3 linked regions of the Arabidopsis thaliana genome follow. The protein of the gene in region 1 purifies or fractionates together with the protein of each later gene. This does not show direct contact. Each region holds a gene or a part of one and is shown on either strand. Other genes may lie near its edges.

Region 1 (4,465 bases):
GAAGTTTAAGATTAGGCATTTACCTGCTTATTGTTGTTTTTCTGCATTGGCTGCTGCTTTGGTAGCAAAGTTCTCATTCTTCTGTAGCTCCCTGTCCAAGTTGTTATGGTGGGTGTGAATCTGCAGAAGCCAACAGATGCATAAGCAAACCCAAAACTAAGGCAGAGGCAAATTCATCAAAAAACACGGCATTCAAAATCCTCAACGCTTACATTACAACCGAAAGAAGCGGCTTCACCATTTTACCTACAGAACCAACTCGAACTCCCTGCAATGGAATCAAAAGACCAGAAACATTCATACTCGATTTCCAACCTATAAGCAGAACCAACACCGTTACATTGAGCTTGAATTTCTGACCTTGTCCCATATGTAGTACTTGGAACCCAAGAGATTAGCCGTCATGGAACCGACATAACTTTCATCCGAACTGCACAGCAATCCCTTAACATTCTGTGCCACCCTAAATATAGATTTCCCATTACGTCGGCTATGGTAAGCAACTGCTAACTTCCGGTCTTTACGCCCCCGACCTTCCTGAGATATCAGAAACATTGATATCACTACATCTCAATTCTCACTCAGCATCATGGTAAATCGAATATCTATATACTTACATGTGTATAAAGTGAATATACAGATCCGTGGCTCAAGCCTTCAGGTGATTGTTCTTTCACAATCAGACAAGTGCATCTTCCCACATCCAAAGGTAGTGTCTTGCACAACAAAGCCCTGTTTAACAAGTATATACATAGTTTCAGACATGTTTAGAACAATGAAAGCACAAGAATCTTGGTAATAGCCGTGTTTTTACCTGTTGGGCAAAGTAGACCAAGAGGAAGCAGGGGCAGCTTCAGAATCCGAAAACTCCCACACTTTCAACGAACTTGAATGCTCTGAATCAACACTAGTCCAAGTTTTCATTCCGAAACTACTCTTATCAACCTCACTGTTCTTCTGCATACACGCTTGCAGTGATGACTGCTTCAGAGCTGTTCGACCACCAGTTGAGAAAGATTTGAAATTTGTAACTTCCGTTGGAAACCCAGAGTTACCCTTCATCGATTGAGACTTCAAAGCTCGATCTAGTTTCCGAGTTTCCACAGAGGTAGAGACTTTCTCCGGCGACACATTCTCCTTATCCTCTCCCTTTTGAGTGGATAAAGACCCTGTAATTGTGTCCACATTTCCCTTATTTTCCTCCAACAAATCATTCACTTTTCTCGAACCAGCCATGTTTTTTTTCCCTTTCTGGATGGATTGCTTTCAAGTATCAAGTTTAGAACTTTCTGGGAGCTAAGTTTATATCTTTATAGATTTTGAAGACATGAATCTAGAAACAGGTGTTTGACAATGGTACTGAGTTGAAAGTAACGTTTTTATAAAGTCCCACAGTGTTTCCATTTGAATTTGAATAGCCATTGGGGATTGTGCGAGCACAGAACCAAAGACACAGATGGACTTTTCTTTTCTTGTCTTAAACACAAAGGTTTTTTAGATGTCTGCGTTTGGTTTTTGCCCTTTTTCTACTTTCTACGGACCCAACGGTCAATACACGATAGTGGGATTTTGATTAATATTTTGTCGTTTTCCTTTGTCGGGAAACTGAAAGGTTGATGATTGGATTGAGGTTTAGCGGGAACTGTGTTTCAAACACTCAAACACTTAAAGTATCAACAACCTGCCGTTTTTTATATTTATCAACGTCATGCCGTTTTATCTTCGTGAGTCATCCAAAACCGATAAGCCAGAGCCTCAAACCATCGAGTGGCTGTTAAACCATACTGTTCAAATTAGTCCAACCAAAACCATGAGAGGCCACAACATCGTCGAAGCCCATTATTATCACCATGGCTAAAGCCAGTAGTACTCTGTTTGCTGTTTCCTGCTCCGCTTCAGCTCGTTTCTCTTTCCTCCGACGCTCTGAATCTCTTAAACCCTCAGTTTCAAGAGCGAGATTCGCCGTTCCAATGGCTATGGCCGCCGCGTCAGCTGCCACCGCTAAAAAACTAGCGCCTGCTGTGATTGTGGGTGGCGGAAGAGTCGGAAGGGCGTTACAGGAAATGGGTAATGGCGAGGATTTGTTGGTGAAGAGAGGAGAAGCAGTTCCGGTTGATTTTGAAGGACCCATTTTGGTTTGTACAAGAAATGATGATCTCGATGCTGTTCTTGAAGCTACTCCTCAGTCTAGATGGAAAGGTAGAAACTTTCATAGGCCCTAAGAATCATTAGTGAGCCAAATTGTTAGATGTTTTAGGGCGTTTGATCATCGCAGAGCACAATTCAAATGATCAGATTATCAAATTTTGATTGTTTCTTCAGTTTATGACTTGGTATAGTAAAAACGTTGTGTGTAATTAATCAGATTTGGTCTTCTTCCAAAATGGAATGATGGAGCCGTGGTTTGAGAGCAAAGGTTTGGGTGATACAGACCAAGTGTTGGCCTATTTTGCTGTGTCAAAGCTCGGCGAGCCTCCCGTGGATGGAAAGACTGACACTAACCCAGAAGGTCTTACTGCTGCTTATGGAAAATGGGCTTCAGAGATAGCTGCAAGATTGCAATCTGGTGGCCTCTCTTGCAAGGTTACAAGAAGCAAATCTTTGTTTTATGATAACGCAGAAGCTGCATGGATATACTAAATGTGTTCTTTTGTCGGTGTTTCTGTGGTTAGGTACTTGACAAAGAAGCTTTTCAGAAGCAAATGTTGGAGAAACTCATTTGGATTTGTGCATTTATGCTTGTTGGAGCTCGTCATCCAGGTGCAAGTGTTGGCACGGTGGAGAAAGAATACAGAGATGAAGTACCGAAATTCCATTCCTCGTTTCGTTTTAGCATTCAAAATCGTTGTTTAGTGCTAATTACTTATACATTCAGGTGTCGAGACTCATCCAAGAACTTGCAGCAGCTGCTGCCGCGGAAAAAGGACTAACCTTTGAAGAGAACATGGTGGAAAGACTATGTGCTTATTCACGAGCTGTTTCTCATTTCCCAACTGCTGTTAAAGAAGTACATATATCACTTTTATCATCCTTGATCTCTCTCTTTCAATGCATGTGCATGTGCATCAGTATCTGTTTCACAACTAGTTTTCTGATTATTGCAGTTTAAATGGAGGAATGGTTGGTTTTATTCACTCTCAGAGAAGGCGATTGCGGAAGGGCAACCGGATCCGTGTCCCCTCCATACCGAATGGCTGAAAGAGCTTAAAGTGATATAGAGCCAGTCTTTCTAAATTGTGAGTATCTGGATTAAGTATCATTCTTACATATTTTAAGTAGATGATCTGAAACTAGTGTCAACTGTGTACACGCCTGAGAAGTGAAAAAAAGATGTAATTTTTTAATAAAGAAAGAGAATCAGTTCACGCTTTGTAAAATGTCCAGACTTTTATATGTGTAAACTTGTGCATTTTCAAGAATCAAAACTTTTCTGCTTCTAGACTCCCATCAATTAGGGAAGACTAGAATCTTCAATAATAAACAAATTATGACAGATACCTATGTAGACTCTTTGGAATCATCAATAGTTGACAAAGTAAGAGGCAGGATCGTCCACGCTTGTTTGAATTTTCAGCCTTTGCAGGCAAGGTGGTCCAAGTAGGCAACTGTGGTTTCTTCGGTTAGTTACTATATAACACATAATTCTATATTAGCTTTAGCTTTAGCTTCACATAACATAACTCAGTTTTCTACAAAGAAAAAAAAACAGAGCATAATGAGCAGAGAGAAGTTTTCCATATATAACTTGCTCTCTCTTCTGGTTCTGCTGATCCATGGTTTGATTGCAGCATCTGCTCAAGATCTCACTGTCTTCAGTTCTTGTCAAAGCCATTGCGGGGGAATAGCGATTCCTTATCCCTTTGGAATTGGTAAAGATTGCTATCTCAACAACAATGAGTGGTATGAAGTTATCTGTAACCGAACCTCAGGAAACCCTCTGCCAGTTCTTAAGAGTATCAACAGAGAACTGGTGAATATCTCTCTCCCGGACGACTCAAGCGATGTCTTTGGGCTAACCCGAATCAAGAATCCGGTAACTTCTTTAGGCTGTTCCAATATGGAAGAAATCAGCTTGGCTTTGAATGTGACCGGGAGCCCATTCTTCCTCACCGGCCGTAATACTTTAGTAGCAGTTGGCTGTAACAACAATGCCTCGATGACTGATGATAAGCTGCAGATTGGAGGATGCGAGTCTACCTGCGACGTGGGGTTTGGTCAGAGAGGACGGAACAGAAGCTGCAACGGCTATAGATGTTGCCAAGCGAAGATACTCTCTGACCGTCTGCAACAGATTGGCATCAAGATAGAGAGTCTTGATGGTAACACAACGAAATAAGCTGGGTGCAGAGTTGCTTTCTTGACAGACGAGGCATATTCTCCTTTAAATATAACCGAACCAGCTTTGTTTTACGATAAGGGATATGGAACGGTGGAGTTAGGTTGGTTCATAGATAGGTTACACAAT
Region 2 (5,656 bases), on another chromosome or scaffold:
CTCTCTATGAAGGCCCAAAATGCAATGCAAAAAGTGTCAACTCTGTGTGAACCCTAAAACTTGCGGAGCAGTTTAGAAATTTAGTGACATTTAACTTAAATAAATAATCAGGTGGTTGGAACGTCTTGCATTAGGTGTTGTTCCTAATTGTTAGGCCTTCTAAATCCGACAAAGTATTTTTGCATTAGGCTACAAATTTCTTAAAGTCGAATTAATCACTTCAGACATATCATACGCCTAGCAACCCTCTGAATCTGGTTCAATGTTTGTATATAGCCAAATTAATATAAGATTTTTTTATATATAGATAAAACATCACCCATCAGTGATGGGCCATCACCCTAATTATAAGACATTGTGTAACTTATAACAACCTTCCATAACTGGTGTTAAGAAACCAAATGTGATAACTGATAAGATTATTTGCTTGCACATATCACCAATGAGATGATTTGTGAACATGTTAATGAATTAAGTATTTTTATTAATAAAGGTATAATGAAACCTTCATATCAAATTATGTGGGTGAGATGGAGGCATGGATGTGTTTGTTAGGCTCATACCTGAGGCCTCGTATGTTTGGCCTATTTCTTTGTTAGAATCTTAATTTGGTAATGAACAAGACACAAGCTTTTACATCTTGACAGAAACCTTTAAAATCCATCTAATTAGATGATTTATAAGATGCTTTATTATTATGATCTAACCACGTTTATATATTTTATTCAAACTGATTAAGTTTGCGTTGATTATTTACTTCTCAACCCATTTGCTAACTGTATTAAGTAAATTAACAAAATATGATTTATATATATGAACCATGGAGCTTTATGAAGAATTCTGAAAATTTCAGCTGTTTGATCACTCAAGAGGATACATGAGTTTGTTTGTACCAAACATAAATAATGCTTCACATTATTGGATTCTTCAGCGCTAGAGACATTCTTAATCAATCCAAGTAAAAATATTATGTCGATACTCCAAAAAATTGGGCAAAGCTTGGATACTTCGGCTCCCATCCTATCTCCGCTCGTGTCTTAGAGTTGTTCAGCTTCTTCCCTAAAGGACCACTGGTGCCTACAAAAGCCAAAGTTGTCAGACTCCATGAAGCTTAAGGTTTTTCAAGACAACTACATGTCAATGTCTGAAGAAACTCACTTGTAAAACCTTTGAACTTCTTATCAAATTTTCCGCTTTGAGCCATCAGGTCCATCACCTCTTGCCTGAGAAGAGTGAGGGGTCAAACATTTGATGTCTCATCAAAAGTTAGAAAGTAATCTCAAAGTTAGAACGAAAGCAGCATTACCTTGACAAAGGATGGTTGTCACAACCCAAGAAAATCCGAGCACCGGCTTTCTTCTTCATGATTGCAACTGCCAGCGATGCTGCATCCTGTTCAAAAACACATTAGAGAACCTGATAAGAGACTAATGTATAGTACACTGCCATTCTAGAAAATGAGTTCAATCTGCAGATCAACTAATTAGTTATGAGAGTGAACAAAATCACAAATATACCTCATAGTGTATGAGATTTAGAATATGATCAGGACGAGCATCAATTGTCTCCTTACTCAACCAGTAAGTATGTGCACCTCTAGTTTCTGTGTATAAAAAGTTCAGGAGAAACATAATGCTCAAATCTTCTACAGACCAAGAAAAAAGTCTTTCAATACTTGCTCATTCAGTTTCAGTATCGAAATCCAAAAGGATATGTAAAGCCCTGCTAGTCTAAGGACAGTCCCTCCACATTCCAACACTACTTTTTCAGCTTTCAAAAGCACATCAGTTCTTGGACTCTTTCCCAGTGGCACTACTGGAGAATCCTGCAGTGAAGGGTAACGAACTTAGAAATTCTTATTGAATAGCACATATATATATTCACAATGAACAAGAATTTGCATTGTGGTCTCAAATATCAAATTTTTTTATTGATTGTATACTTGATTTTCATAGATTTTAAATGTGAGAGACTCTTTTCCCCAAATTACCTCAACAAGTAATTGTGTTAAACAACTTTGATATAGAATAATACTAAATGTGGTGTTAAAGTCTAAAACTAGGAATTTTAGGATGGAGAAAACTGAAAGAAAATAGGTATTCAGGTGCTGAGACAAACCTCGTTGCATTCTCCGTTATCAAAGCAATCATAAGGTGCAGAACTAGATGTGAATAAGAATGATCCTTCGCCATTCCAGTTTGATGCTGCATTCCTGATCCGATTGTAAACACAAGCATACACACATATTAGACAGTTGAATGAAGGCAAATGTTTTTACTGTTGTCACATAGGATGAACTAAAAAGCACAAATTGACGTTTAGCTTCATTTTTCTTCTCCAGCTAATAAAGTCAAGCGCACAATAGTCGACATTTCTGGCATTCACTAACAGATCATAATGCATAAATTGACTTTCTAGTTATTAAAACATAAGATTTTTTGTAATTAATCACCTGACTTCACCAGCATAATCAGCGCTTTGTGATGGTGGAGCACAAAAGATCACATAGGAGAACTTTCCCCCATATTCGGTTCCTTTAAGAGATGGTTTGATACCCAAATTCTCCAACTCACCATGATGATTTGTTGTTACTGTCTGCCCAAAGATTTGAGACTCTGGATGTTCCTGCTCCACATATAAAGCTCTAACTCTAACTTCCATATTGTGAAAAACATGACTCTTACTATATATACGTTGTGAAGAAAAAGTACTAGTCACTATCCACACACACACCATATTGATAAACACTCAAGACACATTAAAACAGGGATTTGCAGGACATCATAAACGTTTTTGTTTTCGTAGTACAGAAACACCATATCTATCGGATGTTCTATAAGAAGAATATGAGTAAGTATCAAATTGAGCTAAGTCCCCTGTAGGGGATATACAACACAGAAATTATACCTGTCTCCACTGTTCTGCAACTAAGCGTCCAAGAACACCCGGTCCAACAATCAGCAGATCGTTTGCTCCAATTGAAACATGAGACTGGACCTTCAAGCCATCACTGGTCTCACCTTCATACAAAACAACATATTAAAAAGGTCACTACTTTGGAGAGGCAGATCACTAAACCTTCATTTACCATATTCTTAGCTTCCTCATCAATGTAATCAGAAATTGTAAATCATTCGAAAGCTCTAATTACCTCACTAAGCATAAAAGATTAACATAGGATTATCTTAAAAGTCAAAGTTCACTAATCCTTAAAGCAGTCGAATTGAAGAAGTAGAGAGTGAAGATACCAATGGTGGAGGAAGAAGAGGCTTGAATAGGGGTCGCCATTAACGAAGACGTTAATGGAAGAAAAAACGAGACTTTGGGTTTATCCTCCTGACGTCTCAAAGCAAACTTAAGTGAATATGAAGAAGACGCTGAAGTCGAGTGCTTGGAAAAGTGGTGAGTCGATAGAATTCTTGAATTGATCGTCGGAAATGAGATGCAAGAGATGAAACCCATTAAGACAAAAAAGCAAAAAGCTTTGGCTTTTGACGACGAAAAAGATTGAGTTGGCGTGGGGAAAGAGATGGGATTCTCCGTGAGACTTTGGTAATGGGTTCTCTTGGTGTGTTTTAACCAATGGCGTATTTACACGTCACGACGTCCAATGTTGTAGAATATTGGTCTTTTTTTTCGTTTCTTTTCATATTCTAAGTTTGTTTATAGGAAACAAAAGGAATGACATTTGCTATTAATATTAATGTTAAGGATTCGATAGTTTTACAGTTTACACACTCTTCTGTCTCTCTACTCTTCACATGAGCTCAGCTTCTTCGGTGTCTCCATCAACATCTTCAACATCGTTCTCGTCATTCTCATCTGTTGCATCTGGGTCTATTCCCTGCAACAAACACCCCAATTTTGTGAATACACTAAACATCATCCTTGTTCGAGCTTCATAATAAAATGGTTCGATTTGATTCTTCCCAACCTTCATTTGTTTCTCCAAGCGATCTAGTCCCTTTTTGGCTGCCTCATTCTGTGGATTTATTCTGCGTTTACATTATTTACACTCTGTTATATCGTTATTGTTTCGCATAGGAGCAACAAGAACTATAAGCACTACTGGCTTAGAATTTCATAAACCTTAATGCAGCTTGAAAGTGTGATAAAGAATCTTGTAGCATATTCGTTGCAGCAAACACTTGAGCTAGCTTGACGTGGAGAGAATCATCTGCATAATCTTTGAGATATCGTTCAAGTAGTGATACAGCATCTCCATTCCTCCCTTCCATTAGATGAAGCTCAGCTAGGGCTAACACAGCTCCAAGGTACCCAGGTTCCAGCCTCAGACCTGACTCGTAAAACTTTTTTGCCTGTTATAAAACCATATCATTCTACTGTTACACCATAAATTTTTATACATAATGTAAAGATCACAAGAAGATACTCACAAGCTCTGAATAGTTTCTCAGATTTGGTATACACTATGCTTATCAAAATTGAGATTTGAACAGTTAAGTTTAAGGAACTTTCCCAGTTTCAATATTTAGTATTATATGCAACTAACTCCCTAAAGCTTTCACCGCTTCTGATTAAGATGTAAAAAATCTGGATAGAATATTGATATGATGAAAATTGACACCATAGAAGCATAACAAAGCTGAATGTTTGTACCTTTTCCCTGCCACTTGATGTAAACGCATGAACATCACCAACTAATTTCAGAGCCTTCGCGGATTGAGGCATTGCATTCATTGCTTCCCTGGCGGTATACAATGCTTCTTTGGTTTTACCAAATGCAAGATAAGAATGGACTAAGCCTGAAATGACCTCAATAGCGCAAGTTAATTACACACTCCAACCTTTTCATGATTGTTAAAGGTTTATACCACCAAAACAGTACAACAGTGGAAGTGTATATCAGATCTTTTTCCCTCGTGAACCAGACCTTGATATGAACGAAGATCGGACCTCAAATTCTGGGCAGCCCTGAAGGCGATCGCTGCAGCTTCTGGTCGTTTTGCTTGTAAAAGTAGATTTCCCTGACGTCTTAACAAATTAGTGGATATATATATATATGCAAACTTACTAAAAATAAATAAACTCCTCGTTGAACTAGCTTACCTTCATTATGTAGCCGGGTATGTGCCTCTCGTCTACCCTGATACTCTGATTGCATAGTGTATGTCATGAGCTATCACACAAAGATTTTGGCACAAAAATTCAGTGTCAGAAAAAAGCTAACCTTCTCAGCATAAGATAATGCCGTCCTTGCATCTTTCCTTTCCCATAGTACAGACAAAGCAACAAATACTTCTGCTCTGGTATGATCAACGCTTAATAAATCGTGGACGAGCTTGTTTAGCCTGGAATAATCACACTTAATCTGAAGCAGCATCGCATACTCATCCATACTGGTTAGTGTGTAAGGATCAATTGACCGAACCTATAAAAGCTTTTAGATGATTATGCATGAATTAAAGAAGTTGAGAATTGAGAAAAAAATATCCATGTGGTGACTACCTTCTCAAATCTCATTATGGCCTCATCATTTTTCCCAATAATGGCTTCAACCTATACAAATGAAATAAATGTCAATCAGCGTCAGTCATGATAAAATGAAAAATTCAGGTGAAATTCTGTTTGCATCGTAGTCGATGTCATCCCTAACCTTTGCTGTCTCAGTCAACAAGTGTACATTATTTGGAAA
Region 3 (4,918 bases), 300 kb from region 1:
AACATGTCATGAAAGACAAAAAGCAAAGGAAAGGACCTGGGTTTTCCAGTTTGTGCAGCCTGTGACAAGAGCCAGCAGAAGAGTCTGCAGAACTGCACCGGCTAGTATTCCAATCCAAAGGCCAACACCTTTCAGATGAACCCAGAAGGCTAAAGATGCTGCAATGGGTATCCCCCAGAGATAGAAAGCTCCGAAGTTTATGTAAGCCCCTATATGCTGCCACCCGCATCCGCTTGCAACACCTTCCAACCATCAAACGAGGGTTAGAAGAATGGCAGAAAAGAGTACAACATGAACAGGCATGACAACTTGGAGCTGTATATTCGACACTAGCTTATGTTTGAGAAACGAAATGGGAAAAAATCTCGAACCTGAGAGAACCCCTTGTAAACTGTCCAGTATGATAGAAATAGAGACCAACGGAGCCATCTTTGCAACATATTCGATGGTTTTCTTGTCACTGCTGAAAACATGGCCGAAAACATGCCTGCCGGCTAATAGAGACATACTCACCATCAATGCATCCATTACTGCAAGAGACATTGCCGCATAGACCACAATATGTGCTGCTCGAGAGTTTCCAGCTCCTAACTCATTTGAGATTCTTGTGCTGCACAATGTACTTGCTTATGAACATGAAACCATAACAGAAAGTATACTTCAGCATTTATGTACTGGATAGTGGTGACAAAAGCTCTAACCTTGCTGCAGCCGCGATCGCTAGTGGTATTGAATAAGTTATTGAAAGTGTTTCGAAACTGTCCGTAGTATGAATAACATTATGATTTTGCAAATTCAAGATTGTGACAGGAAATGGAAAGATGCAAGGATGAGTACCAGATAGAGAGCACAGAAGTCTCCAGCTGTGGGTTGGGTAACAGACCAGAAAGTAATATTATGAGTTCATATGACCACCACTCCAGGCTGCAACCCATATATAAAAGAGTTTCTAACAAAAAATGTGGAGGCAATGAGAAGTGAAAAAGGAACAGAGAAAAGTGATGTACCAAAGCATAGCCGCAGAAGGAAGAGCATATTTGATAAACTCTCTAACGCCCTCGAATATCTCCATGGTAAGCGGCGCGCGTGTCTCAGAACAGGCAGAGGAGTAGTACATGAAAGATCCAAGGAAAATGGCATAGAGCCAGTATGACAAGCTGAGAGCCAAGGCTCCTCCAATATGACCAAGCCCTGACTTATAAACCAAAAGCCAGCAGAGAGGAACGTGGATACAAAACACAACAGAAGAGGTGACGAGGAGAGGTGTGATCAAGCTCTGGTTTTTGAAGTAGCGAATGAGCGGCTGAAGAACGGCGTAAGCGAACAGTCCTGGGATGAGCCAAGCGGCATATCTACCAGCTTCGTGAGCAATAGCAGGGTCTTGGCCAAGGATCACAATAAGCTTTCCCATGTTGAACCATAGGAGAGAGAGAGGGAGACACACTAAAGTAAGACAGAACATAGCTGTGTAAGCCTGAACACCTAGTTTCCGATATAGCTTAGCTCCATAAGCTTGACCACTCAAAGTATCTAAGGCACATGACAATCCTATCTATCATCAAAAAGTAACAAGAAAGTGAGGAGAGGATGCAATTTCCATGGTTCTGGTAGCTAGTAACAGAGATAAGTGCGTCAATTTAGAGGAAAGAAGGAAAAGGAAAACAAACAATGAAGCTGAAGCCAGTGACGTTACAGAAGGAGACTGCGAAGGAAGCGCTAGCGAGGGAGAGTCTACCGAGGTGACCCACCATCACCATTGAGATTATCTGTATCATGAACTGAATGATAACCACGGCAGCCATAGGAGCCGCAAAGCAGATAAGCCTCTTGAGTTCTGCGGTGAAAGATCCGTCTTGCAGATCTCTCCATGTCACTTTCTCAATTCTGTCTACCGGATCATTGGTGGTTCTCTCCGCGTCTTGCATGGCTTGTGAGAGAGAGTTTGAAAGTTGAAACGGAAAGTGGTGAGTGATAATCGTGAAGTACTACTGTCTGCTTTTTGGTGCTTGGTTATGTGTAATTCCTTACCAAGGGAATCTATAGTGTAGTGCCACTTGGCAAAATTCCAAAACCATGAATGAAATATATACGTTAAATTTGGCTCAACGGTAGGGAGTGTTCATTGATAATGTACTCTTACGTTTTTTAATATGCATATTGCTTGTCACTTTTCTTCCACAATTCTGTCTTTTAATTACATGATTTGGTGTTTTTTCTTTGAAAGACGAGCTAGCAAAATTAAATGAAGAGGGAATGCAATTTTCGAAGTATCACAACAAGTGGTCGGAAAGTAGATAGAATGATATTTTGATCATCCACGTGGCAAAACATTGTAACGGAAGGAAATTAGGTGCATAGCAAAAAAAAATAACACAATCGTGCCACCGAACCAATCGGGCCGCCCTTTTCTACCGCCGGCTAAATTTGACGGTCACATATAGAGCCCCAAAAACTCTCCACCATGTCCACTCTTCCTTTCGCGCCTTCTGTCACCCATGCGCACTTTAGCCACTCCCTCTCCCCCATGTTTATCCTGCGCCATCTCCCTCTTACACGCCATCTCCGTTTATCCCGAAATAACCGCGTCGCTTCCGTTGTATCCGCCGCCGCCGTTCGCCAGGACGCTTCCCTCTGGACTCCAGCTCCTCTCTCTCTAATCGAATCAGCTGCAGAATCGCTTTTCCACATCTCAATCGACATTTCAAACGCTCCGGATCTCGTAGCTTCGTACACGAGACCCGGTCAGTATCTCCAGATCCGTGTTCCTGATGTTGAGAAGCCTTCTTTTATGGCAATCGCTTCTCCTCCTTCCTTGGCGTCTTCTCGTGGTGCTTTCGAATTCTTGGTCAAGAGCATCGCTGGTTCTACCGCGGAGATTCTCTGCGGGTTGAAGAAAGGAGAGACCGTTGAGCTTAGCTCTGTGATGGGTAATGGTTTCAATATCGATCTGATTGATCCTCCTGAGGAATATCCCACCGTTTTGATTTTCGCCACTGGATCTGGAATTAGGTGAGAGCTTTTTCCATTTTCTCTCCTACCTTGTTGGATTGCTGAAGTTGTCTTTTTTACTTCATGTATTCAATGATCCAAGTGTGGTCTAGTTTAAAGGTTTCAGTGCAGAGCATTAGCTAGATACAAAGCTTTCAAACTCAAGTATCTTGAATCTAGTTTAGTTACTCATTTTGCGGTGAATCCTCTGTGATGCCGGGTTCAATTGCTTTTTTGTGGACCTTTTTTGTGAACTCCAGTATGATTTCAATCTATCCAAAGGTGCCATGGACCAATTTTGTGGCTATTTTTTTACTGTGATGATGTTGTAATACTGAAATAGAGTTTCATGTATGAAAGGTCAATGTTTTTATGACTTTGGTGATCGATCAGATCTGTTGTTTATGCCAAGTAAAGGTGTTTCTTTCAATCATCTATTGTTCTAGGCCTGGTCAATCAAAAATGTTTAGTGATGGTGATGTGAATTAAGTAACTGTCTTCAATTTGGAATGTAATCTCACATGTTCTTATCTCTGCAGCCCCATCCGCTCACTAATCGAATCAGGATTTGGCGCTGATAGAAGATCTGACGTAAGACTCTATTACGGGGCTAGGAACCTGAATAGGATGGCTTACCAGGTTTGGTTCTTTCTCTCAGTTGTTTTGCAATTCATGATGTCAGTAGATATAAATGTGTGTGCTTGAATTATAAAAATCTTTTGATGATAAGCGTAAAGCCTATCTCTCGCTCTCATTTTGATCTACAGAAGAATCATCTTGGAAACGCTCTTGATTTTGTAGGAAAAGTTTAAAGAGTGGGAATCAGCGGGTGTCAAAGTTGTGCCGGTATTATCACAGCCAGATGATGGGTGGAAAGGGGAAACTGGATATGTGCAGGTGAGATTGAGAAACGTGCTCCTTAGTCAAGTCTGCTGTAACTCAATGTGGATCAAACTAATATATACATAATGTGTTGTATAGGCTGCTTTTGCAAGGGCTAAACAGCTATCAGCTCCCAAGGCCACGGGAGCGGTGCTGTGCGGACAGAAACAAATGGCTGAGGTATGCACTGTTTTTGTTTATGAGAACCTAAATGCTTTAGAAGATGTGTATCTTTATCATTGTTTCGATTTGTATTGTTGCAGGAGATAACTTCAATGCTTGTAGCTGATGGAGTCTCAAATGACAAGCTGCTCAAAAACTTTTGACAGATATAGTTCTTGTATTATCGTATAATTTTACTGTTTCTTCACATCATTATTCTTTTGATACGAAAGTCCTCTTCAAGGCCTCTCTAATTCATAAACACACAGAATTTTGTAGTCCCTTAAAAATTAATACTACTGTGTTGATTGTCACCACAACATTCTTTTTTGATTAGTGATCATGTTAATGTCCATGCTCTATATACTTTGCATATTTCTTCTACTTTCAATAGAAAATTTCTACATATACCAAGAAGATTTATACCAAAAAATATTGTGAATTAGACATGTTTCTAATTAGGAAAAGTTCCACAAAATAAATCACCATCGTTGCCACATTTAATTAACGCGGAAAAAAGCTTAAAAGCCATTGATCGACTGTATTAACCACTAAATTAGACTGCACGCCGTTTTCATAGAAGATCACAGGACTTGGTGTCGTTCTCACGATCCTTCACGATCATCTTCTCTTAGTCAATAAGGATCCATCAAGGAAACCAAAAATCGAAGAAAATTAGAAAAATCGGAAGAGCGATCGAAGAGGATTTTGAACCGCCATGGCTTCTTCTTCGCTCTCTAATCTGATGCTCGCCATTCATGAGAAGAAGACGAGCTCCGTTGATCTCTACCGTCCTCTCCGCAACTACGTTACTTTCACCTACTCTGAGCGCGAGGCTCAGCTTATAGACGACGATCTCGAGACCTTGAAGCAGCTCCGATCCGAT

The links.
Region 2: the proteins of AT1G16080 (region 1) and EMB2799 fractionate together in Arabidopsis thaliana (co-fractionation; one large-scale study listed by BioGRID). This does not show direct contact.
Region 3: the proteins of AT1G16080 (region 1) and AT1G15140 fractionate together in Arabidopsis thaliana (co-fractionation; one large-scale study listed by BioGRID). This does not show direct contact.

What each region holds. Positions count from the first base shown.
Region 1 is NC_003070.9:5,512,544-5,517,008, forward strand, and holds AT1G16080 (nuclear protein), read left to right. Parts: upstream 1-1,718; 5' UTR 1,719-1,850; coding exon 1,851-2,199; intron 2,200-2,365; coding exon 2,366-2,583; intron 2,584-2,672; coding exon 2,673-2,801; intron 2,802-2,875; coding exon 2,876-3,007; intron 3,008-3,104; coding exon 3,105-3,218; 3' UTR 3,219-3,484; downstream 3,485-4,465. Other genes in the region: TLP8 (tubby like protein 8), read right to left, coding at 24-120, 213-268, 361-537, 618-732, 815-1,236; WAKL7 (wall associated kinase-like 7), read left to right, coding at 3,716-4,319, 4,365-4,465.
Region 2 is NC_003071.7:16,309,014-16,314,669, forward strand, and holds EMB2799 (NAD(P)-binding Rossmann-fold superfamily protein), read right to left. Parts: upstream 3,610-5,656; 5' UTR 3,463-3,609; coding exon 3,249-3,462; intron 3,021-3,248; coding exon 2,908-3,020; intron 2,626-2,907; coding exon 2,453-2,625; intron 2,213-2,452; coding exon 2,119-2,212; intron 1,826-2,118; coding exon 1,715-1,825; intron 1,608-1,714; coding exon 1,518-1,607; intron 1,393-1,517; coding exon 1,307-1,392; intron 1,224-1,306; coding exon 1,159-1,223; intron 1,078-1,158; coding exon 968-1,077; 3' UTR 785-967; downstream 1-784. Other genes in the region: APC7 (tetratricopeptide repeat (TPR)-containing protein), read right to left, coding at 3,758-3,844, 3,935-3,995, 4,090-4,319, 4,621-4,766, 4,895-4,988, 5,071-5,115, 5,192-5,392, 5,470-5,520 and 1 more.
Region 3 is NC_003070.9:5,209,681-5,214,598, reverse strand, and holds AT1G15140 (FAD/NAD(P)-binding oxidoreductase), read left to right. Parts: upstream 1-2,249; 5' UTR 2,250-2,461; coding exon 2,462-3,009; intron 3,010-3,527; coding exon 3,528-3,627; intron 3,628-3,789; coding exon 3,790-3,885; coding exon of another isoform or gene 3,886-3,957; exon of another isoform or gene 3,958-3,969; coding exon 3,970-4,050; exon of another isoform or gene 4,051-4,133; coding exon 4,134-4,196; 3' UTR 4,197-4,418; downstream 4,419-4,918. Other genes in the region: AT1G15150 (MATE efflux family protein), read right to left, coding at 37-242, 372-610, 702-758, 838-924, 1,008-1,552, 1,668-1,925; AT1G15130 (Endosomal targeting BRO1-like domain-containing protein), read left to right, coding at 4,751-4,918.